2 linked regions of the Lepisosteus oculatus genome follow. The protein of the gene in region 2 binds, or shares a complex with, the protein of the main gene of each other region. Links are inferred from orthologs where the notes say so. Each region holds a gene or a part of one and is shown on either strand. Other genes may lie near its edges. The genes, in order: chuk and nfkbiab.

The links.
Region 1: nfkbiab (region 2) and chuk share a complex: the UniProt entries of both Homo sapiens proteins name them as parts of the 70-90 kDa complex. The link is inferred for Lepisosteus oculatus from reciprocal best matches to the Homo sapiens genes NFKBIA and CHUK.

Annotation. Positions count from the first base shown.
Region 1 is NC_090699.1:17,633,202-17,647,780, forward strand, and holds the start of chuk (inhibitor of nuclear factor kappa-B kinase subunit alpha), read right to left. Parts: upstream 6,179-14,579; 5' UTR 5,831-6,178; intron 4,762-5,830; exon of another isoform or gene 4,759-4,761; 5' UTR 4,756-4,758; coding exon 4,651-4,755; intron 3,924-4,650; coding exon 3,829-3,923; intron 3,002-3,828; coding exon 2,884-3,001; intron 2,604-2,883; coding exon 2,534-2,603; intron 2,001-2,533; coding exon 1,912-2,000; intron 1,673-1,911; coding exon 1,583-1,672; intron 1,372-1,582; coding exon 1,247-1,371; intron 1,017-1,246; coding exon 909-1,016; intron 591-908; coding exon 455-590; intron 180-454; coding exon 1-179.
Region 2 is NC_090703.1:3,275,649-3,290,972, reverse strand, and holds nfkbiab (nuclear factor of kappa light polypeptide gene enhancer in B-cells inhibitor, alpha b), read right to left. Parts: upstream 5,965-15,324; 5' UTR 5,900-5,964; coding exon 5,661-5,899; intron 5,045-5,660; coding exon 4,939-5,044; intron 4,786-4,938; coding exon 4,578-4,785; intron 4,333-4,577; coding exon 4,244-4,332; intron 4,027-4,243; coding exon 3,769-4,026; intron 3,494-3,768; coding exon 3,461-3,493; 3' UTR 2,912-3,460; downstream 1-2,911. UniProt on the Homo sapiens protein: Inhibits the activity of dimeric NF-kappa-B/REL complexes by trapping REL (RELA/p65 and NFKB1/p50) dimers in the cytoplasm by masking their nuclear localization signals.

The sequences.
Region 1 (14,579 bases), on a different chromosome or scaffold from region 2:
CACTGAGCTGCAGGCTTCCTGGGGTCCAGGGAGACCCCAGTTTCAAGCAGCAGCTCCTGGTTCAGATGCTCAATGCTAGTCTCCAATTCAATGCGCTGCTGAAGACAGTGGAGTCCCTCTTCTGGGCTCAGTTGAAACGAGTGGATTTTGGCAGAGGTCATGTTTAATATGTGCACAACCTAGACACAAAAACAGCCATTTAGAACCAAAGGAGTTTTTACATTATTTTCTAAAAAGAAGCAATATATAAGAAGTAACTAACACACCAATGTGAACTTGATTCTTGGTTCTTTTAGTATTGTTATTGACTGGAAGCAAACATTTCAGAAAGAATATCAAAAGCATTTCTGAAAATGGAAGAGCTAAAGCTTAAAAAGCATTTGGTTGTGTTTTAAGACTGAGATTTTAACTTGAAGGGGAAAGAGAAAGGAAAAGAAAAACTACTGAAAAATACCTTCATGTTTAAAATCATATCCAGAAGAACAAAGCACTGAGGCTGATTTGTGTCAGAGTGTACAGGCCCTCCTCTCTGCACAGGGTCCCATCGCAGCAACAGCTGTAACAAACTTTCAAGAGGCTCCAACATTGTCCTGCACAGAAAACAACATCACAGAAAGAGTTACTACAATAATGTGTGAGATGGAGGTGGTGTAACCAAACCATAAGTCACACAAAACCTAATATTAAATTCCCCAGATTTAATGAAATTTACAAAGTCACAACAGTAATTATGTAACAACGTCACATTGTGTCGGACATAGTGGGTATGGAGACACAAGTAGCATGTTTCACCTCATGCAAACATTTTTGGAGATTTCAGCTTTGGTCCCTTTACCCCAGGTCATGCAATTCTCCGTCTCATTTAACTCAGTGACAGAGATATTGTACCTCAAAGTAAAATTACTGACCTGCTGAGGTTATTAGGGTAAGGCAAGTGGGTGGAGAACTTGACTTCCCCATTCATTTCTTCAACAGCCATGATGTCCTTTGGGCCTTTGTTACGCACTTTTGTGGTCCTGAAAGAGGCGTTCAAAAAATGAAAAAAAGAAGAGATTAGTCAAAAGGCACACAGAGTACCTGTTGTATCTAAGAGAGTGCACCCCAATGAACAGATGAAATTACACTATTTGCTTTAGAAGAAACCTCACCAAACCCTAAATAAATTAACAACGGCCTCTCGCAACCCCTCTCCAGCCCTTTTCAGCCAAATATTAATTCACGGCTCACCTTTAACTGAAAAACTTACCATTGGATGGGCTGGAGATTATGCAGAAAAGGACGGAAACCACAGCTGCATTCAAAGATCATTGTGCCGAAGCTCCAGTAGTCCACTGTCACGGTGTACGGCTTGTTCTCAAACAGCTCGGGGGCCTGGAAAAGGAGCAAAGACTTTTCACAGTCTCGTACGGTCACTTGCAGTACACAGTACACTAATCAATAAGTATATTTGTCTCCCAAGCACGTCATAGCAACACACAACAAAAATCTCACATCACGGTAACCTTCTCTTTGTGCAACCCACAAAAATGGGTAAAACTCTTCACTTCCAAGGTCACAAGGTAACGCCCCTGGTGACACTCACCAGGTACTGCAGCGTTCCCACGAACGATGTGCAAAGACTCCCTTGATCCAGGTCCTTGGCATACCCCAGATCAATTATTTTGTGGACTAACTAGAGACAAAGGAAAAAAATGTTTAAAACACCAAAAAATTAGTAGTGAACAAGAATCACGTTATACTTTTTTTGAGAAACCAATGGGTAAAAGCCTAGATCTAGCAGTAAATCTAAAGAGCACCCAACAAAAAGCTCTTTGGTTGCTCTTGCTCTTTCAATAAATGAAGAAGACATCACCAGATAGCAAAGATCAACAGATTCTGAATAATAAACCACCATGAAGACTGCTGTCTTACCTTTCCATCAACATCCTGAAGAACTATGTTCTCTGGTTTAAGATCCCTGTGTATAATTTTATTTTCATGCAAATACTGGATGCCGGACCCTTTAAAAAAATTAAAAATTTAAGAGCACCATTTTTTTAAATACAGTTTATACATTTATTTTGCTAGAATACACATATATACACAATACAATACAAGTGCTGTGAAAAAGTCTTTGCAATCTTATATATAATCAGGAGTTCAACATGTGTGTTTCATAAGCATCAACAAGTTGTTCAAAACCCCCACTTGTGTCTGCTACATGTTCTAACAGTAACTGTGACTATCTAATCAAACTTAAATCTACTTTAGATTAGAAGAAAACAAACTAGTCTTTTAATTCCCAATGATCACAAAATCAAAAACATGAGAACACCAGCTTAGGGAAAACTTCACCACAAGTATCTTATATGAAATGCTGTACTAATTAATCCAGCGCATCTGCCAATAAAAACTAAATAATTCACCGTCAGGTGTCCCATTTGAAAACCATGCTACACAGAGCATGACAAAGATTCAGTGGGAAAGACCCAGCAGTAAATACAGGATCCTTTGTATTTCGTATATGTAAAACTAAGATTTATAGACAACATACCAACGTCACTGAGCAAGGAGAGCACTTCACTCTCTTTCAATCCACAGCAATTCTCTGGCTTGTTCAACATCTAGGAAAAAGGTTACATTACTAACTATACCTGCTTCATTAAAGAGCATGCATGTTGCACCTTAAATGTGCATCTAATCACCTCTTTTTCACTGTAATTCATGTAGAACTACGTTTCTCAATCAGACAGATATAATATCATTAGCAAATAACACATTTGAAGAAGCGATTTTTTAAACACTAAACTGAAAAGTGCTTCTACAAGTACCATTTCCCATGAGATATATTTTACAGTGCTGCATTTTCTACACAATGAATTAGGGAATTCTTAAGGGTCTCACCTTACGAAGATCTCCCTTGGAGCAATATTCCATTGCTAAGAGTGGGAGGTCATTAAAGGCTATGTTTGTCATTTCCTCTGGCACTTCCCGGGCTGTCACTACATTGGGATGATTAAGCCTGAAATAAAAATAGAACCAACTTGTAAATCATTGAGGAGTTGTGATCTAAAGCTTACACAGGCAGCCTCTACAAAACTCTTTCACGGCTATGGATTTCATCCCTGTATTTTCCAAGCGCTTCATTCAATAAATGGTCACGGAGGAGCTGAAGCCTATATCGGCAAGCGATTGAAAGGCAGAGTACACCCTTGAGGGGACGCAACTCCATCGCAGGCAGACGCAAACACAGACACACTCACACCAGGGACATTTTTCCCCAAAAGCCAAATAACCTTCAAGTATGTCCTTGGACTGTGGGAGGAAACCCATGTGAACACAGGGAGAACATTAATATAAATTCCACGCAGATAGCAACCTGGAAATTGAACCCGGGACCCTGGCTCAGCGAGGCCGCAGTGCTAACCAACTGTGCTGCCACCAGCTATGGAATCCCTGCCCCCACATGGCATGCATTTAACTGTGAGGCCGGAAAATTACGAACACATTAACCGGCAGAAAGATCACAAGTGTGATGCTGCAAATACTGAAACAAAGCTGAAAAAAGCATGCTAAATACTGTCCCTCAAAACCACATCCTTTAATGGTGCATGCAAATAAAAGGTACTGTTTGACACTATTAATCTACGTCCTAATGCAAACTTAAACAGGCCGTTCCCCTTTCTTGCAAGAAGCTGGGATATGCATAACATCGGAGCTAAACATTCTTTAGGGAAGTCACGGGAAAGCCACGCTTGCGACAGGATAATCAGAGGGAAGAAAAGAAGTGCTGAAAATGAAGGACAGCCATGAAGAGCTCTCCTGTCTTCCACAGAGTCTCAGACGTACTTCTTCATGATTTGTATTTCCCGGCACCATCTTTCTTTGTTCTTCTGAGTCAGCTCCAAGCGGCACGACTTGACAGCAATCTTCTCGGCTGTCTCCTTTTGAAAAGAAAAAAAGAACAGCAGACCGAGCGAAGTCACATTAAAAAAAGAAATACAATAAAACGTTATAACTTGTGTCAAGTAAAACCAAAAAAAAAAGACAAAACAGGAATAAATATCCCAAAATATCTACTTTGTTAATAACAAAGACAATCAGTCGCTGAGCCAGCGTGCTGATCACACGCCAAGCTTCAGGAACAGATGTGCACCCATCACCCAGCTGCAAATTAGAAACCTGGTGCTCTAGCTTACCAGAAGCTTCTCAGTTTTTCCCCAGAGGCGGGATATGAGGCACCAGTCAAGTGGAGAGCAAGCACCATGCAGACGGACAGTTTATCTCCACTGGTAGAGTACAGCTCAGCACCCCGGAGGATACAGCCCGCAGGCCGACAGAGGGAATCGCCATCACCCCCTGGGACTGGCGCCTGCATTTAGAAACTTCCTTTTTTGCAATGAAGTTGTTTATTGTCCCTCTGTATTGACACACAGCTACACTGTCGCTTTGGGGCGAATGCCTTTGTAAAAGCCCACGTTCAGCGTCCCGGAGCTGGGGAATATGGATGAGTGTCTTGAATTGTGAGGGCAAAGCTACAAAGCTTGAGGGACGCGTGCGAGCCCTTGGCGATCACCAGGTCCTTGATCATAGGCCACATAGCTCTCCAGCCACTGGCCTCTCTACCCCAAGCATTAGCGTTTCTAGAGCCGTCATCCCTGCTGCACTCACCAGATGCTGGTACAAATACACATGGCCGAATCCTCCCGTTCCCAGTTTCTCCTTCATCTCCCACAATCCGCACACCTGATTCTGCCTGAACGGCGGTTTCTCCATTCTCTGCTGTAAAAAGTTAATTTTCCTTAGATTATTTTTTTTAATGCGAGTGAGGTCCAATACACCAGACTGTGAGAACACTGAACAAAAATAATACACAAAGAAAATCATACAATGCTCAATCCAGAACATCTCAAAGCATCCCCTTTCTGTTGGAGCGAAATTTCAGACATTTCTCAAGCACTGAGCATCTGTCTGTGCTGTACATTGAGCTAAGAAATGGATTAAAAGCCCTTGTGTTCATGAATCGGGCCCAAAATAGCATCACTTTCGCAATGGTGCAGCTCATTTGTGGCCAGCACCAGGACAAGCTTGTACAGACTCTTTGTCATTTATCCCTGTTATTTTTGTACCTTGGATTGCACTGCTCAAGTATGCAGACTGTACTTATAGTTCCAATCTTACTGCACTTTGCTCTGACTATATTAACGCACTTGTTTTGACTGCACTTCTGCACGTAATGCACATTTGAAGGGTAGGTATTTTACAGCTGGGTGACGTAAAGTGCCATTGGATAACAGCAGCAGGGCCAGTAGCGCTTCTCCTGGGTGTCAACATTGCAGACCAGGGCCAGGTCCCGAACCGGGGCCCGTGCCGTCCTGGAAGCTCAGCTCGTGGATAAAGTGGAACACGGGAGCGCGGGACGCCGACGTCACGAAGCGCCGGGTCACGGGTTCACAAAAATGTTACCCCGACCTGCCACTGAAAAGCCCTGTGGAATCGACATGACCTTTAACCCAGCACGGTTCTCTCGAGACTTCAGACCGGCAACACGACGCTTTTCTGAGGGAAATGAAATCCGTAGTCTGGAGCGGAGGCTACTCGGAGTTGTTGCGTGTTTGTTTCTCCCGTGTCACAAACACGGAAAAGAACCGTTAACTAAAATACGTGAAGCCTTATATCCGCGTCTCGCTTGTTTTAAAGTGGCTGAAAAATAAACTTTGCCATATCCTCTCGCCGTCCTGAACTAAGAGCACCAGTTTCAAAACAGACCCGCCTGGGCCAGCTCGGCTCGGCCGGTCCAATGGCCACAGCCCCCGCGGTGGGGATTAGACTCCACACACGCCTCACTCACCTCTGTTATGTTCACACAATGAGACTTAGTCGGCAAGCAGCCTCCGGGCCAAGAGCTCTGACAGCGCGCAGTCACAGCGGCCCGCTCATGTCTCCCCTCGCAGCCGGATGCCAGACCCGAGGCCGCCGGCCTGCTGCATGTAAACAAGCCCGCTTCCCGTCCGTCAGCCGCTGTCGGTCTGCCCCATGCTCACGGGGGAACCGCTTTCTCGATACCGCGACAGGCGCTGAACAGGTTTAAACCCCCCCACCCCCCTTTTCTGCAATTTTGCCCCCTTTCCTCCCCGCTTCCCAGCAGTAATCTCTACCTCCCCTCCGCCCTTCAGATGCGGCGCTTTGGACTTTCCCAGAAGTGACGTCACCGCCGCCTCGGAGCAGCACGCGCTCCTGTACCTCCGGGTGCCCGCGCGCTGGTCTCGAGGTTGTCAGTTCCGATACCTGCGTGACGGTTTGGGCTCTGTATCCGACCAAAAACAAAACAGCGAATGGGAATATTCGCCATCCGTTACGCGTTTTCATGCAATTTTTAATTTTGAACGTAATTGCGAACCTTACACAATAATAAACACTGACTACTTTTTTTTAGTTAAGATCACTTTATTGGCCATATACAATTTCTTGCATTGGGAATTCGTCTTTTCACATACCCCAGCTAGCTCTCCATGAGACATAAACACACAGAAAGGGAGAGAAGCCTGGGGTCAGAGCGCAGGGTCAGCCATTGTACAGCGCCCCTGGAGCAGTTGGGGTTAAGGGTCTTGCTCAGGGGATTCCTCTGCCGGCCGCGGAATATGAAACGGCAACGTTCCGGCCACAAGCACAGATCCTAAGCCACAGTGCCACCACTCTGCCCTAACGTACTTCATACGAAGTCTGAATTTTGTATGTAATTCTTCTATAAAGCAATGTAAATTGTAAGTTTTATTGCCAGCAGCCATATCACCCCGCAACCCACTGAAGCTCAGCAGGTGTGAGCCTGGTCAGTACCTGGATGGGAGACCTCCTGGGAAAAAAGGTTGCTGCTGGAAGAGGTGTTAGTGGGGCCAGCAGAGGGCGCTCACCCTGTGGTCCACGTGGGTCCTAATGCCCCAGTATAGTGACGGGGACACTATACTGTAAACAGGCGCCGTTCTTCGGATGAGACGTAAAACCGAGGTTCTGACTCTCTGTGGTCATTAAAAATCCCAGGGCGTTTCTCGAAAAGAGTAGGGGTGTAACCCCGGTGTCCTGGCCAAATTTCCCATTGGCCTTTAACAATCATGGCCTCCTAATAATCCCCCTCTATGAACTATCACTCTGCTCTCCTCCCCACTGATAGCTGATATGTGATGAGTGTTCTGGTGTTCTATGGCTGTTTGCAAAAGGTGGGGCTTCATATTGGTGGTGGTGTAGGGGATCCCCATTACCTGTAAAGCGCTTTGAGTGGAGTGTCCAGAAGAGCACTATATAAGTGTAAGCAATTATTATTATTATTATTAATGTTCCTTTCACCAGAGAAACCCAAAGCATAAAAATAGAAAATAATGTAACACCTACATACAAAAGGGAAAAAAATAAATTTTGACTAGAAATACTTTTAAATTAACAGTTTTCAGCTGAGGTACAATAGAAGTCAAGGAGTCATGGTTTATTTAACTCAGTCCAATTGGCCCAACTAGCAAAGAGAGTCTGTAGATCTAGTGAGCATACGTACTAAGTATCTCTTGAAGATATACAGTACCTTAATCACCAAGAGCTTTATTTTTAATGTAGCCATTTTAAAATCAATTCTGTGATCCACAAGTGAAGAACTTTTACAATGCTAAAACATATTGTCTAGTAACATTTTGAGCAAGGCAAGGTTGAATAAACAGATGTATTAGCATCTCCTGGCTTAATGTACCTAGCTAGATTATTTTGGAAGAACAATGCAGTTTTAATACCAGGATTTGAAAACACACAAAAAAAACTATTTTCATTGGCATAAAATGCATGTTAGGGCTGTATTTTCTAATTTTAACTTCTGTATAAAGCTGTATAAAGATCCAACAGAATTTCTCAGTGAAACAGATACGTGTCAGTTTGAAAGGGGTAGGCACACCGGTCAAAATCGTTTCTAGACCAACCAATAAAGGTAGCTGGAGCTTTAACAGAGCCGTGTCCGTCGACTGTATCAAAGGGAACTGAGCTGATAGCGTTACCGAAACAAGACCTGAATGTTTTCCAGAACCTATTGCCTCAAGAATACCTTTTGCCCCAATAAGTGTGTCTCACAGTCGTGACTAAACAAAACCCAAAATGAAACCTCTATAACAAATTGTCACTGCTATGGTTACTGTACCGTGGTCATTTTAAGAAACCGAATTTTCTCTTACCTCTAGATGTCGCTATAGAAGTTACTTCGGGTTTACCTTAAGCACACGCCAACCTGAGAAAGCACGCAAACGTAATAGACGTTTCGTCCCAAGTTGCTCGTTTAGAGTAGCTAAGCGGTTCGATGATCCCTTACAGTCAGTTTATGACAGAGGCCAGGGTATCGGCTTCAAAGAGAATGGGTTGCTTGTTCCATTATATTAGGCTTTACAGCATAGTGGGAAGCTGTAGCGCGTCGTGCTTTTTATGTACTTTTGATTACAGTTCATGTTAATATTGCAACGAACGCTTTCCTTTCAGTCCTGGCGGCGGCGGCATTTAGGAAAGACAGGCTGGAGACGACTCACAGGCTCCCTGACAGTTTAATTGCCTTTTTCATTACAGCGTGGCCAGCTAGTCACGGAGGAGAGAGAGGCAGAGAGGAAGCAAACGTTATCTGGATTAACAGGGGAGTGGGAGAGGAGGGATTGCACATGGTTTTAATGAGGGAAAAGGCAGGAAATGTGAACCTGTGGTAAAGGCTGAGAGTTCGTGGGGACAGTCCAACAATGAAGTTAGAATTGGGAATCCTGGAGTTGGATTGACTGTCTTCCGAGCAGTGGGCAGCAGCAGGGATCTGGTCTGGAGAGGACAGGAGCACGCAGTGGCTGCTGGGATACAGCAACAAGGGAGGGCTTGCCTTCATCAGCTGGTCTGACTGTTGTGGTTCCAAGCGGGCTCTTGCCCTCGCCGTTCCACCCCGCTGGCTTGTCCCACAATGCCTGGGCGTGAACCCAGTGCCGGTGTCATCGCCCTCCCTACATGTAGCAGGGACCTCAGGCGCCTGAGTTGAGGGAGGTCTCCTTCAGCTCATTGGGCTGGTTCCCTTTTGCATTACGCCGGAGACCTCCCTCATCTCAGGCGCCTGAGGTCCCTGCTACATGTCGGGAGGGCGATGACACCGGCACTGGGACTATCGAGCTTCGGGTGGGCCTTCTTCCATAGAGGCAACTTTCTGTCGGAGCGCGCGTGGACACGGCGGCGCTGGCTTCTCCTGGCCTTCCCATCCGCCTGGCGACCAGCCAGCGTCCTCGGCTCACAGCCCTCACCTGGCCAGCAGAGGAATCACGGACTGTGACAAGAACAGGCATGACAACAGTACCCCGCGGCTCATGGTCTGGGGGGGGGGCTTCAGCTGATTCAGAGCAGCTGGGTTTTGGCACCCCTGCTGTGGTTTGCGGAGGGCACTTGCTTTGGCAGCAGGGTCCTGAGGCTCGTGGTGGGTGGGGTGGGGGGCCTGTCACCGGACAGACTCGCTAGGGTGGTGCTGGCTGGCGTCCTCTGTGGAGCCTTGGCAGAAAAGTCCCACAGCTCGTGGGGGTGGTGCTAAATGACCCCCTCTGTCTTCGATGGCAGGAGAGCGGTGCAAGAGCTCGACCTCCTCCGGGGCAGTGAGCGCAAGGGAGCCACCGTCAGCCTGCCAGCCCATCACTCCCCCAGCTCAGGCTGGACAGCGTTCGCGTTGCCGTGTTCCTGTGGCGGAGTATCCCACTCGTAACACCAATGCAAAGAACGCTCACTTCGGCGGCAGCAGCATTAGGAAGGACAGGGTGGAGATAACCTACAGGCTCACTGACAGTTTAATTGACCTTGTCATTACAGCAGAGGGGGGGTGCGTGTCACGGAGCAGGTCAAGCTAGGAAGACGGAGAGGAAGCAGGCATCCTCCTGACTCCAGAGGTGGGGAAAAGAGAGAGAACAGATTGTTTCCCAGCTTTGTAAAGGGAAACAGCAGGAAAGGATGAACTGCAGTGCCCTACCCACTGGGGCATCTGAATCCACACTGAACAAGCTCCAGTAGGTCCAGAATACGACAGCCAGAACTCTGACCAGGTCATGTGCAGGTGATCACAGTATGCCCGTCTTGCAGTCCTTTAAGCGCTTTGAGAAGCCTCCTTTAAAGGTGCTATATAAAATTAAGTTTATTATTATTACATTGACTTCCTATCCGGCTTCATGTCGACTTCAAAATCCCCGTGCTCGCCTACTGTATAAGGCTGGAAATGGCTTGGCACATCAATACCTATCTGTCTCATTATCTGTCTACTTCCCACCTCACAGCCTTCGCTCGTCCAATTCTGGACTCCTTCCTGTCCCCCCAGCCCATGCACTCTCTGTGGGTGACAGGACCTTCTGCTGCACCCCAGAGCTCTGGAATTCTCTCCCTAATGATATCAGAGAGCCACCTACCCTGAGTGAGTTTTTTACAAAGCCTTTTTCTTAATTAGTGTCTGTGCCCGCCCCATTTTCTAATGACCTTGTGTCTTCTGCTGCTCTTCTAACTATTTGAGATTCTTACATGTTTATTCTGTAATTTACTATCCTTATTACTCTTTTTTACACCTACCATAAAGCACTTTGAGATGTTACTCTGAAAGACACAATAATAATAATCATTAATATTATTATATGAAAGGGGGGAGGTCGTGTTGAAATCACTACAATATGAATGATACAATAAAAGATCATAAAAGACATTATTCTATATAGAATCTTTAAAAACAATAGTCTCAAGGCACTATTCAATTAAAGAAAATGACAAAGAAGATAAAAACACAAAATGGCTTTTCTGAAAAAGTTTAATTTTCGACATAAAATTTTAATTTTAAAAGCTTATTTTGATAAGATAAAAAAATGTGATCAGAACAATCTCTCCATCCGAACAGATGTTATGACAATCAAACTAAATACCGTACTGAAAAATCAACTTGGACCTTACCGTTGTACTTACCGCGAAAATGATTTTGTCTGCAAGGAAGCAAGAAACGCTCAGCACATCCACTAGAGGCCGCTGTACAATCACGAAAATAATGTCGTTGTGATTGACGAAAGGATTTTTGCTTCAACGAAATGTACCTTCTGTTGGGAATGCTCAGATGCAGGTAAAATGCTGGTATACAAAATAAAACATGCAACGTACTCAGTTTTCAGTTTGGGAAAATTGGTTGGAGTCGAGTTAAAATAAAACCCAGCAAAATTTGCATTGAAACATCACGTTGTGAAAATCGTTCTGCGAATCGCAGTTTTTTTTCTCCGAACTACTAAAATACTTCACAAATACTTTGCTTAAGATATTATTGTTATTTCAAAATGATTCATGTTCAATAAGAAAAAGTGTTCTTTTACAAATAATAAAGTAGATGTGAGTACATCAAAGTGAAAGAAGGAATGTGGATAAGACTATCATCTCTGAGGAGAGGTAATAGTTGCCGAGCACAGGAGACGAGCATGTTTTTTTCCCGGTAACTGCATTTGATTGCTCTGCTGTTTCTGAACAGAGCTTGTGAAGTGTGATTGGTGAATCTCAACAGAGTGCTGATGAGGCACAATGTATAATTCAAGCTTTGATTGAAAATCTGTAATATTATTATTAAATCATTATCATTATTAAAGCTGTAATTATTCTAAAACCTTATAAATTGAACAAAGCAATGGAAAACTGGAAATTAATATTATGTATGCTGTAAGCTAGTTAACATAAAAACTGTTATAACTCAAAACTGGGAACATTTTCAATGAGAAATGTGACATTTAAACGTTGTTTTACAGGTTCTGATTAATTTCATAATTTGTTCAGGTCATAAATTTGTTTCAGTCAAGACTGGTTTTATGCAGTAGTCTTAGGATAAACAGGGAGAGTTCATCATAGGAAGTCTGTCTCATAGCATTAACGGTCCTTGAGGCTCCTCTGTGAAAGCCTGGGTCATCGTCAGTGAGACCTGAGATACAGTACCTTCAGTAAGGCCTGGGTCATCGTCAGTGAGGCTTGAGGTACCTTCAGTAAGGTCTGGGTCATCGTCAGTGAGGCCTGAGATACCTTCAGTAAGCCTGGATCATCGTCAGTGAGGCCTGAGATGCCTTCAGTAAGCCTGGATCATCGCCAGTGAGGCCTGAGATACCTTCAGTAAGCCTGGGTCATCTTCACTAAAGCCCGAGGAAGACTCAGGAAGGCCTGGGGCATCTTCAGTGAGTCCTGAGCAACCTGGGATGGTCTGGGATGTCTTTAGTTAGGCCTGGATACCACAGCTGAAATCCTCTCTCAGTAAGGTGCTGCTGTTATGGACAGAGCTGTCTGAGCACAGCTTGCTGTAGATCAGTTTCCTTGACTACACTGGTTTTGAAATGTTTTTATCAATCCCGAACTAGCCTATTTCACTCTGGTTGTGCTTCATTTAAAATGAGGGTCTCCACTATGGCCTTTGGGGTTAAATAGGGTCACCCAACTTGACAGATTTGGAGACCCCTGCCTTTAGCATTTAAAGTTAACCAATCTTTAGACACCAAACTGTACAGAAGGCTTAATTACCTTCTAGGACATATTTTGTTGTGGCCACAACCACAAAGCTATGTGCTAAGCATCACACTTCCTATTTTCTCTTCCCATGTACAAAATAGCAACGTCTATTTGGTGTATAAACACTCTTATTAATTCTTTCACCACAAAGGGGATATGATTCACACTCTCCGAGAAGCTGAAAATTAATTGGCCTGTCATTCTTTCCTTCTCTGCGACTATGCTTTATCTTGCTAATGTTTCTCACAATATCCCGTTACTCATTGTTTTAAGCCACAGTGTATGTTTTCATTTGCTCTGAGACAGTGGGAACACCCACATGTAGTATTCAATATGGCTGCTGTTTGCAAGTTTTTAATCCAATTCTAAAACACAAGTTTCTCGGTTTATCAGGCTAATTTACAGGTCAGGTTTCCTGTGGAATCCTCTGCTGCCATTTGTATTATGGGGAAGGTCATCTGAGAGCAGTAAAAGCCATGCAGAACAGCCTGATTTTAAGAAAACCGGAAGAGCCATTAAATATGTTCAGACTACATTTTTCAGAATACATTGCCGTCTTTTTGCCGGGTCTTTTATAAAGACGAAAAGAAAAACGTTTTTTTAATCGTTTTAAAAGGTGACAACAGAAAAATTACTTCTCAATGAATTGGTCTAGGTTTTCCCTCTTTCAACAGTCAGGATGAAACATATAGACACCATAGGTATGTAAGACGTACAGTAAAAAATTGTATGTTGATAAAGTGACTCTGATTTGAGTCATTCAGTCATATGATTAACGAATGATGATCAATTCCTCTCAGTATGTACAGTCGTTTGGTTTTGTTCATTGTGTATTCAAATTTATTCTCTGGGAAAAAAAGCCATATAAGGTAGTCCTTGGCAGTCAGTGGGGATTTTGCTTGGTCTGAGTGCTTCATGTGATCCGCACATTGTGACTGTGAGAGGGGTGTGGAGCACTGTGTCTGTCATATTTGTGAATTGCAGAAGAGAAACTGTGGTCAATTGAAACATCAGCCAGCATTATTCAACCCTGATATTTATCAGAAATACAGTCGTTTATTTTAAGAAATACAGGTTTTTCATAACTTTGGACAAGATGTGTAGCACTGGAAATATGCTAGAGAAACCAGGTAGCATATTTCTGTGATGTGGCTGTACAGTTATGACCTGATGCCATCAACCAAGATGGGTATCTGTGCATAGATATTACTAACACCAGTAACCATGATCCCAGAGGTCTGAAGAGTAGAACAATAGATATAAAATTGAACATGATAGTTTTCATCTTGAAGAATATCAGAAGAGGCCACAGAAATGTAATGTTTTTAAATAGTTGGTCCTGAGGTTTGCCCTGTTTTTGCCCTGAGGTCTGTTGTCCTGTTATCCTGTGGCTTTGTAATACAATATTCTCTGTAGTTCAAGTAAGTGGCATGCGTAGGCTGCAAAGGAAAAAGTAAAGGTTTATTCCATGCTGAAAAGAGAAGAAAAGAAACACACTGGAAGAAGGCTCCACAGCCGAAACGTTGTGTTTTTTTTCTTCTCCGTTCAGCATGGAATATTCTCTTACCCACAGCATTGGGACTGCATTCTGGGATAAAGACCAATCTGGAGTAAATGTGAACTTGAAGTTGTGAAACCACAGAGACTGTAATTCAAATGCCTTGTAAGATCTGGTCAGCCCTTTGGACTTATATTGGAAACCACCTTTCTTAATTCAGTTTTGTTTTCTTTCTGTGTAAGATTGTTTTGGAACTGGAGGGCTATGCAATTTTGTCCCTACATGGCAAAACACATGTAGTTTATTCCTTCCTGTATCAATGGATGATGTTATTTTATTTTGAATGAGGACTATGCTGTACACTTACTCTTATAGTTTAATGTTAAAAGCAAAATAAAAAGAAAATTCAAAAAGCCTTGTAAATTGAAAGAATTTTCTTTGGCAAATATCGACATTGTTCCGATTTTGGCATTGCTCTACATTATAAACATCAAAATATACACCTGCATGGTGCTGTTCCTTATGGCCAAGACCCTAAAGCCCTGAACAACTGAAACACCTGACCGAG
Region 2 (15,324 bases):
CTCTTTGAGCACACTAGAGAAACACCAAAATCCCAGGACAGAGCTGAGCTGCTATTTAAATGATACAAAAACCACATCAAAAACATGCCCTTTGCAGTGACTGTAATAGCAAACGATTTACACCATTGAAACAATAAGGGGAATTGTTGAAATCTGTGTTTAAAATGAAGACTATAACCTTGTTCCTATCAGTTGGACCCCCCCAGCTTAACTTACACGAGGTGCATTATTTTACACAGTATCTCCGTGATAAAGATATCCAACAGCGGAAAACCAGGGCCCCGCTGGAGCATGTAAAAAACAGATAGTAGGGAAAAAACAAAGGAACAAGGAAAAGTAGATGTAACACAGAAAAAACACATTTGTGCTGGGGAACAGTCTTTGGGTGTGTGGGCAAATGAAGCCTCTGGATGATCCTGGAATGTTCTCAGGGTAAACCTTCAACTGCAAACATTTTTCCTGACCCACCTATCATCTCATAATGCAGTCCACCTGATCTCTAAAGCCTTCTACTCCACATCGTCCACATCCACCATCATCTCATACCACTGACCACCTGATCTCCACAGCCTTTTGCTCCACATCCTCCTAACTGTCCACAGCCACCATCACCTCATGCCACCCATCCACACCAGGCACCATCTGCTGATGCATCACCAGCAAACGTCCAGCCAGTAACACGGATACCCAGAGGCCTCGTGGTTGTCCAGCTCATTTAAATATTGATTGCACCTCTTCCAGAAAGCTCCTGCCATTACCACTGGTGCTACAGACAGAAGACAAGCAGCACGTCAGGGCAGCGAAGACCAGAGCTCAAGGGTTGATTTTGACAATCCAGGCCATGGTCGCGCTGCCCTTTGTGTCTGTGGCCTTTCACAGTGAAACTTCTCCTTTAACTCCTGTAGTTCTACACCTTCCCCTAGCATTCTGTGACTCGGTCATTCCTTCCTTAACCTCTCCATTCTTTTACAAACCTGCCCTCGGAATTCATCGCCGAGACTTCCGATTCCATGGACACCACGTTCTCCTCCTCCTGCCCGATGTCCCCCTTACTCATCCATCGGCCTTTTGGAGGAAGAAGAAAATTTCCCAGTGTGGAATTATTGGATGAAGTGGTTGGAAAATGCAGGGATGGGGTTACCCTCTGCTTGATCTTTTGCACCAAGCACACACACACACATTGACACCCCACCCCACTCACAAACCAACAAGCCATCTTCTTTCAGTACCCCCCAGCACTGGCAGTCTGTTTGTGTGTGGGGGGGGCGGGGGACACAAGCATTCGGCCATCCTACGTTGGCGGTTTTCCTCATGTGTGGGAGGATGTTTGCTTCTATTCACTGGGTATTTATAACATTTAAAGCCACATTGAAGAGAGTAGGTGTGAACGAAGCCTCAGCCCTCTCCTTCATGACCCCTGGCCTTTCTGCTCCCTCTCTGACCACATGAAGGGAACTCTCTCCCTTGACCAAAGAACGAGTGAGGCTTTGCGCAACACATACCTGATAGTGCCGAGCAAAAAAAATTAATGGCTTCACTAATGTCCTGTAGAACAGCATGTTCCCCCGAGCACGGGAACAAAGAAAAAAAAAGAAAACTTTACCAGAGTTGGCTCTGCTTAAACATTCAGACGTAGGAAACGTCTGTTATAGTGGAGATAATCACTGGAGTATGACAACCACGCCAATTTCCAAAAATACTTGAATTCTGCTTTCAGAAGAAAAAAGTGTGGATTGCTTTGTTTCTGAAAAGCTGCCTGGAAAGACACAGTGGTACAAATCAGACTTGTTTGTTTTGTTTGCAGGTATTAGGAAAAGATTATTTAGAAAATACTGAACAAAAATACCTCTTTCATTTTCCTTTAGTGTAACTCACTAACTAATCTAACTTCTCTGTGTTAAGGAATGTTGTTTATTTTCAGTGTAGTGCATTGGGGTAGTTGTAGTGCATCATTTGGAAATGCCCAGTGAGTCAATCCTTGTTCAGAATGTGGACGGTCTTTCTTGAAATTCTTTCAACATCCTTCGTGGCCAATTCGCATTTCCCAGAGCTGCACTTTGAAACCCCTCTCCTGACTAATTCCCAGGGGAAATATCCTAAGTGAATGAAGACGTGGGATATAGGAAAGTTGAAAAGTTGAAATAAAAGCAGCCTGCCTTTATTCGGGTGGGGGTTTACAATCCCTTTGCCTGTTGGAAGTTCCCACCCATTCTGGAAATTCCAGCCTGCTGATCAGACAAGGAAAAGGGCACGTACAGCATGCACAGGGACAATCCGATCCTCTTCCCAGATAATTGTCCAGACCGTGCCCCAAGACGTGGCTGACGAGTGTGTACACAGTACTACTGATTGATCAGGCTCATGTCTTGATCCAAAGCAAATATTTGTATTTATAAGGCTGGGCGTTTGTCTTGAACAATTCAAGTGAAGTGTCTTGCTCAAGAGTGGATGAAGCAGCATCTTCTCTGGTGCTTGAGCCCATCAACTTCCAGTTACAAGCCCCCTCACCACAGTATGAATGACAGCCATGGTGAAATCAATTTGGCGCAAGTCTAAGAATGTTGCGTAGCACCTAGGACTATACAAAGATATTTTAGCACTCCATTTTTTATATTAAAAAAAGATATTTTGGGGTGTTCTGTACTTTGCACTGTCTTAACTTCATCTCGAGGGCAACACTGTGCTGTTGAACAGTGGAATTAACACCTCAGAGTAGCCGACTATAAACCGGGGTTGCAGGCTGGAATCCCAGGACTCCCAATGTCGTTATCAACCTCCAAGTGGAAGCGCTTGCGACCCTCAAATTCTGAGCTACTCCTCTCAAATCTCTAAAAAGCTCATCCCCCCCCCATTTAGCACCACTATCACATTTCCTGTTCACATCCCAGAATTCAAGACAAATTCACAGAGGTCATGGTTCTCTTTTTATTCTTGCTTACAGTATGTATACAGGTATGGCTCCTCAGTTAGTACTTAAAACATACAAGATACTCACACACTCGATAGTGTTCATGTATAATAACATTTCATTTACTTCAAGAAACTTATTTGAAAAGAGTTCATTCAAAAAAAATAGATTTCTCTGTATAGTACATCATTTACATATTTACACTCCAAGGTGTACAGCTTGCAGAAATTCCGGGTTGTGAAGACCGAGTCAGAGTCCTTTGGAAATTCAGGTCCAGTACAGGTTCTGTGTGCAGTGAACTGGTTGTCTGGGTCCCAGTGCAATCCTCCCTGGGCTCACAGTGTTGATCAGTTCCAAAGCCTGTCTGTCCAGCTCCCCTGTGCCCCGCCCTTCCTCTCCACAAACACTTCCCACGCCCTCGGCCCGGCGACACGGAGTCTGGCCAGTGCTCCTGCTGGCACTGGCTGCCGGCCAGGGCAGGCTCTGGGACCTGCCAGCGGCTGTGTTCTCCTCTGCTCCTCCAGCAGAGCGCGAGGCTCCCGGGCCCGAGCACTACTGCCGCACCAGCTGAATGTCGTCGTACATCTGGAGGGGAAAGCAAAGGAGCAGGTTAGGCTCTGGGGCCCGCAGGAGTCAAGAACCCCCTCCCACACACACTTTTCTGCAGAGGTAAGAGAACCGCCACGTCTAGCTTCCTGAAAGGAAACCAGTGACCACCCACGGCTCTCGACACATCCAATCAGAGCTGATGACAACTAGTGTCACGTTAATTCCTGCTCCTGCTTCAGTCGAGTGCCTCATGCGTCAACACCCCACCCCCACCCGGTTCAGCCAAGGACTGGGACAGCGCGGACACTTACGTCATCTTCCTCGTACAGAGGCTCGTCGTCGCTCTCCTCCGCCTCGCTCTCCGGGAGCTCCCGCAGGTCCTGCGCGGTCAGGGCGTACAGGTGTCGCTGGATCTCCGCGTTCTGCCGGCCGTAGGTCAGGTGGTACGGCGTGTGGCCCCCGTAGGTGAGGCTGTTGACGTCGGCCCCCTTGGCGACGAGGAGCTGCACCAGGGGCAGGTTCTGCAGGTCCACAGCCAGGTGCAGGGCGGTCCGGCCGTTGCACTGCTCCTGCGAGGACAGGGCGAGCTCACGTCAGACAGGCCACACGCTCTCCAGAGCCAGCGGAAGCACAATCTCACAGCAAAGTCCCCGCTAAAACTCAAGGCTCTAATGGTGGACTGGAAGACGTGTTCCAGAAAAGATGCTCAAGTGTACCACCCAGCCTCTCACGATATGCCCCTTCGAACCCCGAGGAATTGCCCAACAAGGCAGAGCACAAACCTACCTGCACATTGATATCGGCACCCAGCTGAATGAGGTTCTCCACCAGCGAAAGATAGCCGTGGATGGAGGCCAAGTGGAGGCAGTAATGTCCTGGAAAAGGAGAAGGAAGAGCAAGCTGGTCAGTGACAGGCCACCATGGTTCAGCGTGGTAGTGGGGCTGATCCTCCGATCTTTCCAGATATTCAACATCGGCACCAGGCCTTCTGTTTCTGGCGTCAATGTTGGCGATTTCCAGCTCAGAGTCTTTATTTTTACCAAAGCCAGCTGACTCCGAGTTAACATTAATAACATTAATAAAGGGCATCACTGCACGACGAATGCCAACGGTTACCTACCGTTGTAGTTGGTGGTGTTGAAGATGTAGGGCAGGTGCTGTGTGCTGCCCTGGGTCAGCACGCTGAAGCAGTGCAGAGAGCCCTTCTTACAGGCGATGTGCAGGGCCGTGTTTCCACAGTCATCCGTCAGCCTGGGGTCGCAGCCAGCGGTCAGCAGCCTCTCCACAACCTGGGGCTGCTCCATTATCACGGCCAGGTGGAGAGCCGTCTATTTGGATAAGAGAAAGGAAGAGGAATGTCAATCCATGCTCATCAACGTCTTCACTGCACATTAAAATCTGAAGGAAAAAAAAAACCCCCATTAACAATTCCTCCCCACTAAAGGGAACTAGACAAAAACATCCCTTCTGCTGGAAATTACCTGTCTCTGGTTGTTCTGGACGTTGAGGAACGGGTCACCGCGGCAGCGCTCGATAATCTGCAGGGCGCAGTCCGCGGCCTCGTGAATAACAGCCAGGTGGAGCAACCTGGAGGAAAAGAAGATGAGAATCCATTCAGTTACACGGTTTCTGGAGGGACTGGAAAGGAGGCCGATGGGGGGGGGGGGGGAGGGAGGGAAGTGCTTGAAGCAGCACTTGCGTGTTGCGCAAGCCTGGGTTTTCGGTGGTAATTTCCACTAGCGAGGTCCTGACACATGAGCGCCCCGCCGCTGGCGCCGCGCCAGGGACTTTCCGCCGCCGCCCCTGCGAGGCGCAGAGGACTCCGAGCCCCGCTGTTTACGTCAACCCCTCCGACTAACGCCCAGCGCCTTCTCGCCTCAAAGACCGAAGGTTTTTTTGAACTCTTTAAAAAAAAAAAAAGTTTCTCGCATGCACCCTTTTTGTCTGTGCCGCCCGACTCCCTGCAGACCTGCGTGCTCTGGTGCGCGATGGTCATTTTGTTTCCGAGTACGAACCCCCCCCCCGCTTATGGTGTCGTTTCTATCTGAACACTTCTTGATTCTTCTGTAAAAGCACGGCATATGCTTGTTACAAGCCACGCCGTTTTCGATCAAACCCCAGCTCATGCACTCGTACTAAGCGCCCTTCTTTCCTCGTTATTTCGTAACGCGCGGGTCCTCCGCGGTCAACAAATTCAACTTACGTGTCTCCGTCCTCCGTCCTCTGCAGTTTCCACGGGTCGTTGTGGAAGTCATTCCGGTTGGCCTCCGTGGGATTCACCCTCAGGTTTTCCATGTCCTGCAGGATTTCTTGATATTCCTCCTCTTTCAAAGAATCCAACCCGCTGTCTAGCCTCTCGTCCTGGCATTGCAAATGTTTCCCATGCTTCAGATCCCGATCCTCCATGTTGTAATATCCCTGGTTACCATTAATAGCTTCCATTTTGATCTTGAGTCGCGCCTCCGACAGTCCTCTCTCTAGCTCTGAGCTCAAAATGAGTGTCGGCGCAGAGCCCGTCCAATATAAGCCAGGCGAGCAAGGGCGGAGCAACAGGCAGCCGGGGATTTCCAGTGACTGGCGAGGCAGCCTTGTGAGAACATTGTTAGCAGCTGGGGAAACTCAACAAGGGTTTTTTATGGGGAAAATTCCCCCCCAGATCAGTCCGTTTAGTAAGAATGAAAATTTGTAGTTTCCTATCAATATAACCTCGATTTTACACTATAAGTTCCCGCGCTGCGGAGTCGTGAGGGCTTCTAAAATGTTATTTGTAGAGAAGGGGTCGGTAGTTTTTAACCCTTCCCCACGCATGAGAGAGTTTTAAGTTTCTTTAAAATCACGTTTGGTTTGCACGATATTGTACGACATCGATCTCCAGGCAGGCTTCCGAATAAGTACGCGAGATGGGACATTTAGGGATTCACAAATAATTTCCGAATTGCTTTGCATTGCTTTAACAACAGCTATATGTATATTTTTTTAAAAACAAATCCAGCCGTTTTATGTTACTGTAGCTTGGGAAGTCGTTGCAGTCAGAACTTAAAATGTTAAATAAAAACAGGGTCCTGGACCATGATGAACCCTGAAGCAGGGAAGTGTTCTGTAAGCCAGAGAAAACAAAAGTCTTTTTGAAAAGGAGTTTTACAAATGCTGAGCTCCCCCCCCCAAAAAAACAAAACCTGCATTGTATTGTAAGTACGTTGCAGGTGAGCGCTGTTCTTTTAAACCCGCACACGACTATTTTCACGGTGAAGCTACAGTATTTTACATTCGGCACTGTGCACCCCGTCTGTGTAGATATGGACGGTATCGGCCAAATAAAATAAAGGGGATCTGGGTGCCGGCACGGGTTTCCATGTTCAGATAGAAACGGGGAGCATTTGAGAAAGAGAGAAAATACGTGATGGAAATGGGAACTCAATTTAGGAGGTTCGTTTGGGAAAGATTCACTTCCACTCGAGTTCAGAGTCCCACTGAATATCGGACAACAGCGCCTGGGAGGGTTGGGTTTTTTTCTGGGGGAAATAACCCACGGTTCGAGCCGAGGGCGTTTTACTCCTGCACAGGCTGGGGGACTTCAGCCAATAGGTGGGGTTGCCCCTAAATATTAATTTGAAAATTTAAATAATATATATATACTCTTATACAGTACTCTGTTTGAGGACATGTGTTATTGATAGTATTGGAAGGCTATACCCCAGCTATTTTATTGTTGGGTACGGTTTTAAGAGTGTGTGTTTTTTTTATTAACCTTCGAGGTACGATTCAATTATTTTGCATGTGGGAAATTGAACATTGCACGGTGCTTTTTAAATATAAAGTGCTAGACATGTCTGACAAAGACTTTTCCCACACAGGAATTTTGTTTCTTGAGAAAAGAAAAGCACCAGACGGCAGAAAACATTTGAAAAAATTCTCTTGGTATTCTGTTGTTTTGTAGCGGAGATGGGAATTTGTAAATAAAAATCTTCTGATCATGCTCGTGCTTCAAACAATAAGTTACCAAGCAAAGAAAAACCTGGACTTTCCTCATGGAGAAACCCTCTTAACAGCCTGAAACCCCTTGAAGATGTACTCTTCCCCAAAAAACTCAGAATGTGTTCATGAAAATCCCGACATTGCGATCTAATGCATGCATAGCCGTTAACACTGCAGGAAAAACAAATCTTTGCAAAAGTAGTTAACTGTTTTTTTTGTAATGTACGGGAAGACAACGACAGAATCCAGGTACAGGAGAGAAGAGCTTATGAGTTATAACTTTGCATAACGATTGGTTGCGCTGCTGTAGTGTTTCTGGATTGAGACAATTTTATGTGTGCGGTATGACGTACATTTATCTTTTCCTCTGTTTTAAAAAAGCACCACACTTTAATTAGGTCACTATTGCTATGGTTAAAAAAAAACTTTTCAGTTTCTTATATATTTTTTTCTGAATGAAAGCATCCATTCCAGAATTACGGCTGTGGGAAACTCCACCTGATCGAGGCTTCACCTGTGACATGAGATGAGTAACCCCGGACATTTTCTGTTTGCAAAACACTGTACTGCATTAGTACAATGAATTTTACAAACATAGCAACCGCAGCATAGCAACGGTATCGAAGCGCGAGTCCTTCTTCAACTCCACAGCCCCCCCTGGCGGCCAAGAGACAGCAACAGCTTTCGCCTCAGTGAAATGCTGGTTTTTATAGCGTGTAGACTAAAAACTGTCAGAAACTATAATAATAATAATAATAATAATAATAATAATAATAATAATAATAATAAGCCAGTGTGAGCACTGCCTTTGATAAACGGCTCTATTCCAAAAGCAGACTTTTAATCCGAATAATCCATTCCTTCATTTCTTTATTAGTTTTCGCCACATAGGCACTTTTTCACAAGTATTGTCGTCGGGCCATGCTGTTGTTTTGTATCCTCGAGCATTGTTTTCAAGCCTTTGTAGTCTGCATTTTATTTTATTTTTACACCACACTGAAGGTTTTTCGCAAGGTCAAAGTGCCTCCAAATCACTTAATTTAATAAAGTCATGCTTCTTAATACTTCCCTAGTGGCATACTCTCCAGTGCCACATCTCTGTCACAGAACAAGCCGAATGAAAATAAAAGACCAGACCTCTGTTTTTGATGGTGGGACGACGCCCCTCTGGTTCAGATACCCGTGTTGTCAGTTATACAACGCTTGGACACAGCTCTGTGGCGCGGCATCACTGCAGCAAAGCGCATACTGACCACCGAAGCAGACAGGCCTGTCACTTTCTTAACACGATTAAACTACGGCTTTTGCCTCCTGTAAAGGTGAGAAGGGGACTAAAGAAAAGCCTGATGGAAATTATACAGTACATCCTTACGTTGACCTCTGTGGGTGTGAATGGCAGATGAGTTTTTAAACAGGCCGTGGCAATGCTGTACCGGACACAGCAGGACGTCTCTGCTGCTGCTTTGCAGGTGCCTTAATACCTTCTCAGATAGCTCACCACCTTTTGAGAGGGTGGAAAGATTGACCGCCCCCACTCTCTGTCTCTTTCCCTGGAGGAAGCTGTGAGGTGGGTTACGCCTGAAAGCTGCCGTGTCCTAGCAGGACCGTCAGTCAGCTGAGTCCATGTGTACTGAATTTCTGTGCTGCTTCGGCGTTTTGCTGCAAAACTCAGTTCAACTGCAATGAACTCTTTCACTGAGGGACAGTTGTTGTTTTTTCGAAGCTGCTTTAAAATGCGTAGTTCTTTCCTATCCTCATCTGTTAGCGCCAGGCGTCCTCTTGCCAAACGGCCTCCCACTTCCCCGCGCTGAGGTGGCTGACATTCCCGCAGTGGGAGAGTCCGGGGAATCCCTGCAGCTGGAGCTTCCAGGCAGGACGGCTCCGCGCAGGGCCTGAGCCCAGGGGCTGCAGCCTGTGGGAACTGGCGTTCCAGCTGGGCCTCCGAGCTCCGGCTCCCAGCAGCTCCTGGGGCCTGGCGGGAGCACACCCACTGGGTGGGGCAGACACTGCTGTGAGTCAGAGCCAGGGCTGGGATGCAAATCCACGCAAGGCCATACTGCCGCGATTAAGCAAGAAATTAGCCGTGCGCCCAGCGAGTGGGTGATGCAGCTGACTAGATGTGTACGGTTTGTGAAATTACCCGCCCAGGGTTTTATTCTGCGGTCTGATATAGTGATTCCTGGGACAGCTGGGCTGGAGCTGTCTATGGGAAAGCTGCAGTGCACTTTACAATGTGCAGGAACATCTCTGTATGAAGCTATTGGCTCCTGAACGAAACGAAGGGACAAAATGCATTAATTACATTTTGAACACAGATGAGCTTTGCTAAAGGAAACAGGTAAATGGCAATGTTCTCTTGCTGATGTGTCTCGAAACGGCTTTAACATCAAGGAGGACAAAGATATTTTCTTACAGAAAAGCGCCCATTGATCCATGATCCAAGAGAGCCCATGCAATAAGCACTGCTGGACATCAGGGCCCAGTGTGCAGCTCTGGAGGAGCCGGATGAAAAGCCAGGGGCTACGAGTCCAGCAGTGGTGAACATGCAGCACTGCACAGAGAACAGAGGACATTGATTCAACACACAAATTCAACAAAATAGCTGTTTAAATAGCTGCTAGGCATTTCATGTCTCATCATGGATCAGTCTTTACGCTCGTTACACCATGACACCGGGAAACTCCTCTGCGAGACGGAGATCTGCAGACACCATGGCTAGTCCTGATGTCTTAGTACTATCGATGTCTGCGCTTGAAGTTCACAGGTTCTCACAGCACATTTGGCTGTTGTTTGATGGGTGTTTGAGCTGAAACATCCAAAGTCACAGGTTAGACTTGTAGAGTTTACAAATCCAAGCCTGGATTTCTTGCAGATAATCTGAGCTTCTTTAAATGATGTGAAAACTCTACTTTTGGGCAAATGTTTAGTATGTACTGTAGGTTACATTTCTTATATTTTATATACATAATTAATTGTCATTCCTGTTACGGAATATATGGCTATTAGTAGCATTCTAGTCAATAGTGACGGTACCTCCACTATCACTGCTCTCCATTATCTGCCTGTTAGCCAGTTCTCAATCCACGTGCACTCCCAAGGACACCTGCATATGGAATCGAACCCTGACATGAAACTAATGGAGTTTACAACAGAAGTTTCAGAGCAAGGTTAGATCCTATCTCACAGACCTCAGCATGCCTGCGTACAGTATATAAGGACTTAATTCTCCTATCTCTCACCCTCTCCCCCACCTCCCCCCCTACACCCCTGTAGCAGCTCCCCAGCTCATTCCTCGCAATAGGGAGGGGATCTGGGCAGCCTTATCCTCACAGCTAGGCCAGCACTCCCTCAGCCAGGTGAGTCACTCCACATACTCATCATATTTCAGCCCCTTATCGCCTTCATTAGGATCTAGCCAAACTAGATATACTGAAATACTGTATCATAGATAGCTGTTAACCCTGAAGGCAGATACTCAAAAACAGAAATTGGTTCCTGCTGAAGTAACCCAAAGCATCACACACGATTCAGTCCCATTGTCGCCCAAAATGACATCGGAAAGCACCTACTGGCTGAAAACCTAAAACTATAAAAACGATCAGATGGAGGAAATTTTAAATCACCCCTCCCAGACAGCAGGGAGTAGGTAGCCCTAAGGAATGACCAGGGCTCTGGACTAGAGGGTTGTGGGTTCAAATCCCAGGAGAAACACTGCTGCTGGAGCCTTGAACTCTGAGCTTCACCCAGATCGATCCAGTCTTGGCTCTGCTGTGTAAATGGCTGTCCAGGCCATCGCTGTTAACAAGAGCCTGTTCTTAATGGGCTGAAGTAAAGAGTCAAAAACATCTCTATCTCTACCAGACATCTCTCTCTATAAGACCAAGCCTAATGTGTCTCAATTCATCACTGTTAGTAAAACAGGATTACCAGAGGAAGAACGATAACCAGACACTTTTTTGTGATACAAGGAAAAAAAATGACAATGCTTAATTTTAAACCAGGATAAAATATTCACTCCAGGTTGTGTTTTATTTAGTCAATAAACATTCCTTATTAGGAGATACTAGAAGTCCAGAGAAATGTGAAAATGTTGCTTTGGCCTAGTCTTAGCAGCCTGCATCAGGACAGGATCTCCAGGAATGTGACCAGAGACGTCCCCGAGTGAGGAATTTCCCTTTGTCAAGCCAGCTGTGTGAGCACTAAGGAATCACAGGACAGAAATCCCGTTTAACAGGCTGTTCAGCAGCAGAGGTGATTTCTCCAGCGCGCCTTTTGGGATCTCCTTTCAACTTCAAATTGTTTAAATTTAGAACATCTGTAAAGGCTGTGTACAGTGAGTGACAAGAATGCCTTTGCCACTTCACACACTGTAGTGCTGTGCAAAGTGAGTCACTCTTATCCACCCTGCTGGAGCACGCCCTGTTTCTGATACTGTGTCATGATGATGCAGCTGTGAGCCCGTGCAGACACAGTTTGGCTCAGACAGTATTTTGGGCCCAGGCAGGGGAGCTGTGACTCTCAGTCCTGGTTCTGGAGTGCCCTTATGTCCGCTGGTGTTTGCTCCCACGACACGAGGGCCTTATCCCCCACTGCTGTCCGCCGCCAGTAGTGTAGACGAGAGACACTGTACATCGGGCTGCGCGGGACTGCGGGACCGGAAGTTTACCACTAGGTGGAGACATCTCTTTGGCACAGTATTCAGCAGTACTTTATTAAAACACATCTGTAATACATTCTAATCATTAGCAGACAGGATAATTATCACTATAAAACATCATACCAATCATAGATAATGTACGTTTTTTAGCAGTACAATAGAGTACTGTTAATGAAATGTAGATTTAGACTAAATTAGCCTTGCGATATTTTCTTTTCATATTGATGATCAATTTGCTTATTTTTTTAAATAAAAGCGTGTTTTTTATTTGGATGTTCTGTACTGTCTACTTTCTCTGAACAGTCACACAAGACTGTAATTTCAAAGTAAAACAAAACTGCAGGTCACTGCAAGGACTTTAATCCTGACCTCTGTTCCTTCTACACCCGATTTGACTCCTTGACTTGACAGTGCGGAAGCTGGAATATTTGAAATGCGTTAAGTGCCTAAAACTGCTAAACAACATCAATCATATGGAAAGTTTTTTTCTGGTATAAGTCAAATGTTATTCATTTTATAATTTACCCATGTACTCATTGCATTGAACGGGACCTTTTTGTTTTTAGATGTCGGTAAAATTTTAAATTAAGAACGCGGGCTGCGAAACGTAACGTACAGCATTATAAAACTTTGCAATCCCTTTGTTTTGTCAACTAAAAACGTCTGTTGGCGCCCTCTTGTGGGGCACCCGAGTAATGCAGAAAAATGAATAAATTAGGAGTGTTCTCCTGAGTACAAGAACACGGAGCTCTTGCGAGACATTATTACACGCAAACATGAAGCAGTCAAGTGCATCCCCCAAGCAGGACCCCGTGCCTGAAAGAGACCTACACCGCTCTTTCGAATTGAACTTTAAGCAAATATATAATGGACACAGAGTGGTACGCAGACTGTCTATAGATGTAGAACAATTAAACCCCGAGCAAATAAAATGTTCATAAAGGTTTATATAAAAATACTGTCAGTGCAACTCCTACACGTAATGATCAGCACTTAAAGTGAAAAGGTCGACTGGTGTTTCTTTTTACGAACAGCAACGGATTCATTTCGTTAAGTAAATCGAGGAATAGAGTGCTCACTTCTCGCACTAGCAATAAAAGTAGACTTGGAAAGAACGGAACGTTAATTTTGCTGTGAATCTCATATCTTATTTTTCAGACACCGTCACTGCTGTTTACGGGTCGTTTCCGGCAAAACGCGTTATCAGTGACCCTGTCATCCTGCCTGGGGATTAAATTTGCGCCTCTTCCCCCTAACATTATTCAAAATGATTACTGCAATCAAAACAGAAATACTCGGCGCCTCTCGCCGCCTGGGTCGGTCGAACGCTGGCGCTAATTAGCAACAATTAATTTTTAATTACAAAGCAAACGGCGGCCCTTCTGCCTGCCGGAGCGTGTAGGTGCGGGAGCTGTCCGCTTCCCGCAGTGCTGAACGTCGCCTCGGATCAGCGCTGCTCCGGCAGGCCAGTCGTCATGCGGGATCGCGCCAGCCCTCCAGCAGCGACAGAATAACGACCCTCCCCGGCAGAAACGCGGCTGCTTAGATTTCGTTAAGCAAATGATTACAGGTTTCGAAGCGCATTCCTACGTGCTGCTAGCGGGGGATTGATTAACTATTTCGGTGATTTGGAAGCCTCATGCTGGAGGAGGAGAAGCCCAGAATGTTACTTAAGCGGGATAAAAGAAATAAATCAATACACTCATCTTTGACAGTCTGCTCACTTATCCGAAGGGTGGGTCGCACTGGGGGGGGTCATGTAAACCTCATGTAAACCTCCCGCTGTCTAATTAGAGTGCATGAACTCCGTGGGGTCAGAAATGTAGAATGGTTCTTTTCATGTAACTGGTCGGCGAACGTGAATTCGTATTTTTTTTAAGGAGGGAGGTATAAATACGGTATTACGGATACATTAACAAACACCCCTGAAATAAACTGTTGACTGCACAGCGTACAGGCAGAAACCTGGCCGACGTGACCTGTCACTTCGTGAAGCAGCATGTGAACCGCGCTCTGTCTGTCTGGTGAAAACACAAGTAGACTTTTTGCATCAAACAAACATGGAAATGATACACAGTGAACAGAAGGTCTCTTACAGGATGGAGTGTACCAGATCTTCATGGCTAGATCTTCATTCACACCAATGAATGAAGATCTAGCAAAGCCAAAAGAAATGTGGATTTGGATACGGATTACTGCTCACAGAATCGATCAGTTTGAATATTCTTTCAGAAAGAAGAAGAAATTTTAGATGGGACAACTCCAGTTTTAGAGGAGCTGTGCGGTTGTACTGATGTTTTGCCCGCACGGTTAAAACGCCTCTTTACTCTGCGGGCCTGGACGATCTGAACTGCTCCTGTACCGCCGTCCTTGCGCACGGGCAATGGCACGCACAGGAGGGGCCACCTTCAACCAGTCTGCTTCATTCTGGTATGGCTTGCTGAATATCTGCTTCCCAGCTCAGCGCTGCTCTCTCATGGCAATCTCTGCTGTGTCAATTAGGTCCAGGAGTGTCCAAAGGTCGCCGTCTGGAATGCACGCCTCCCCGAATATAAACTTCAGGGCGGGACAGGTCCTGGCAACATTATATTAACTGTCAACGGCCTGTGCTTTCAATTTCGCAAATTCGTTTGCAAATAAGCGGCAATGCTCTATTTCAGAGAAAGCCCGAATCACCAGCTACAACGCTCTCCGCTGATCCTCTGGCAGCATCTGTGTTAATTTATGTTCCAGTCACCCCCCCTACACACACACACACTGGCCATTCTGTGGCCGCAGGAATGAGGCTGTCTGTGCGGCTCTGATCTCTTATCGGCGCTCGCAGCCCCGGCGGGGAGGTGGCAGGCCGCCGGCCCGCTCTGTCCCGCTGGCGGGTTATCAGTGGTGGAAGCTGCCTGCAGATGTGGTCCCACGCTCCATCCTCTCAACGGCGTTAGCTCCACCACCCTTCTGCTGGGAAGATAGCGGAGGATCCTCACTTGGGAAAAGGCAAATAAAGTCGTTCCCATCATTTTGTGCCGCGGGGCCCGAATGGGAGCGATCCGCAGGAAATTAGTTGTGTGGCGCTCAGGCCCCCAGTCCAATCACTGCTCTCACCCTCATTGCGGCTGCAGGCCTCGCAGGCAGGAATCGATTTTGAAGAGTCCACAGCACTTTGATTATGTCATTAATCCACCCGTCCATCCGCGCAAACGCGCTACATCTCGAATGAAAGAATCCCCAGGATAACAACTGA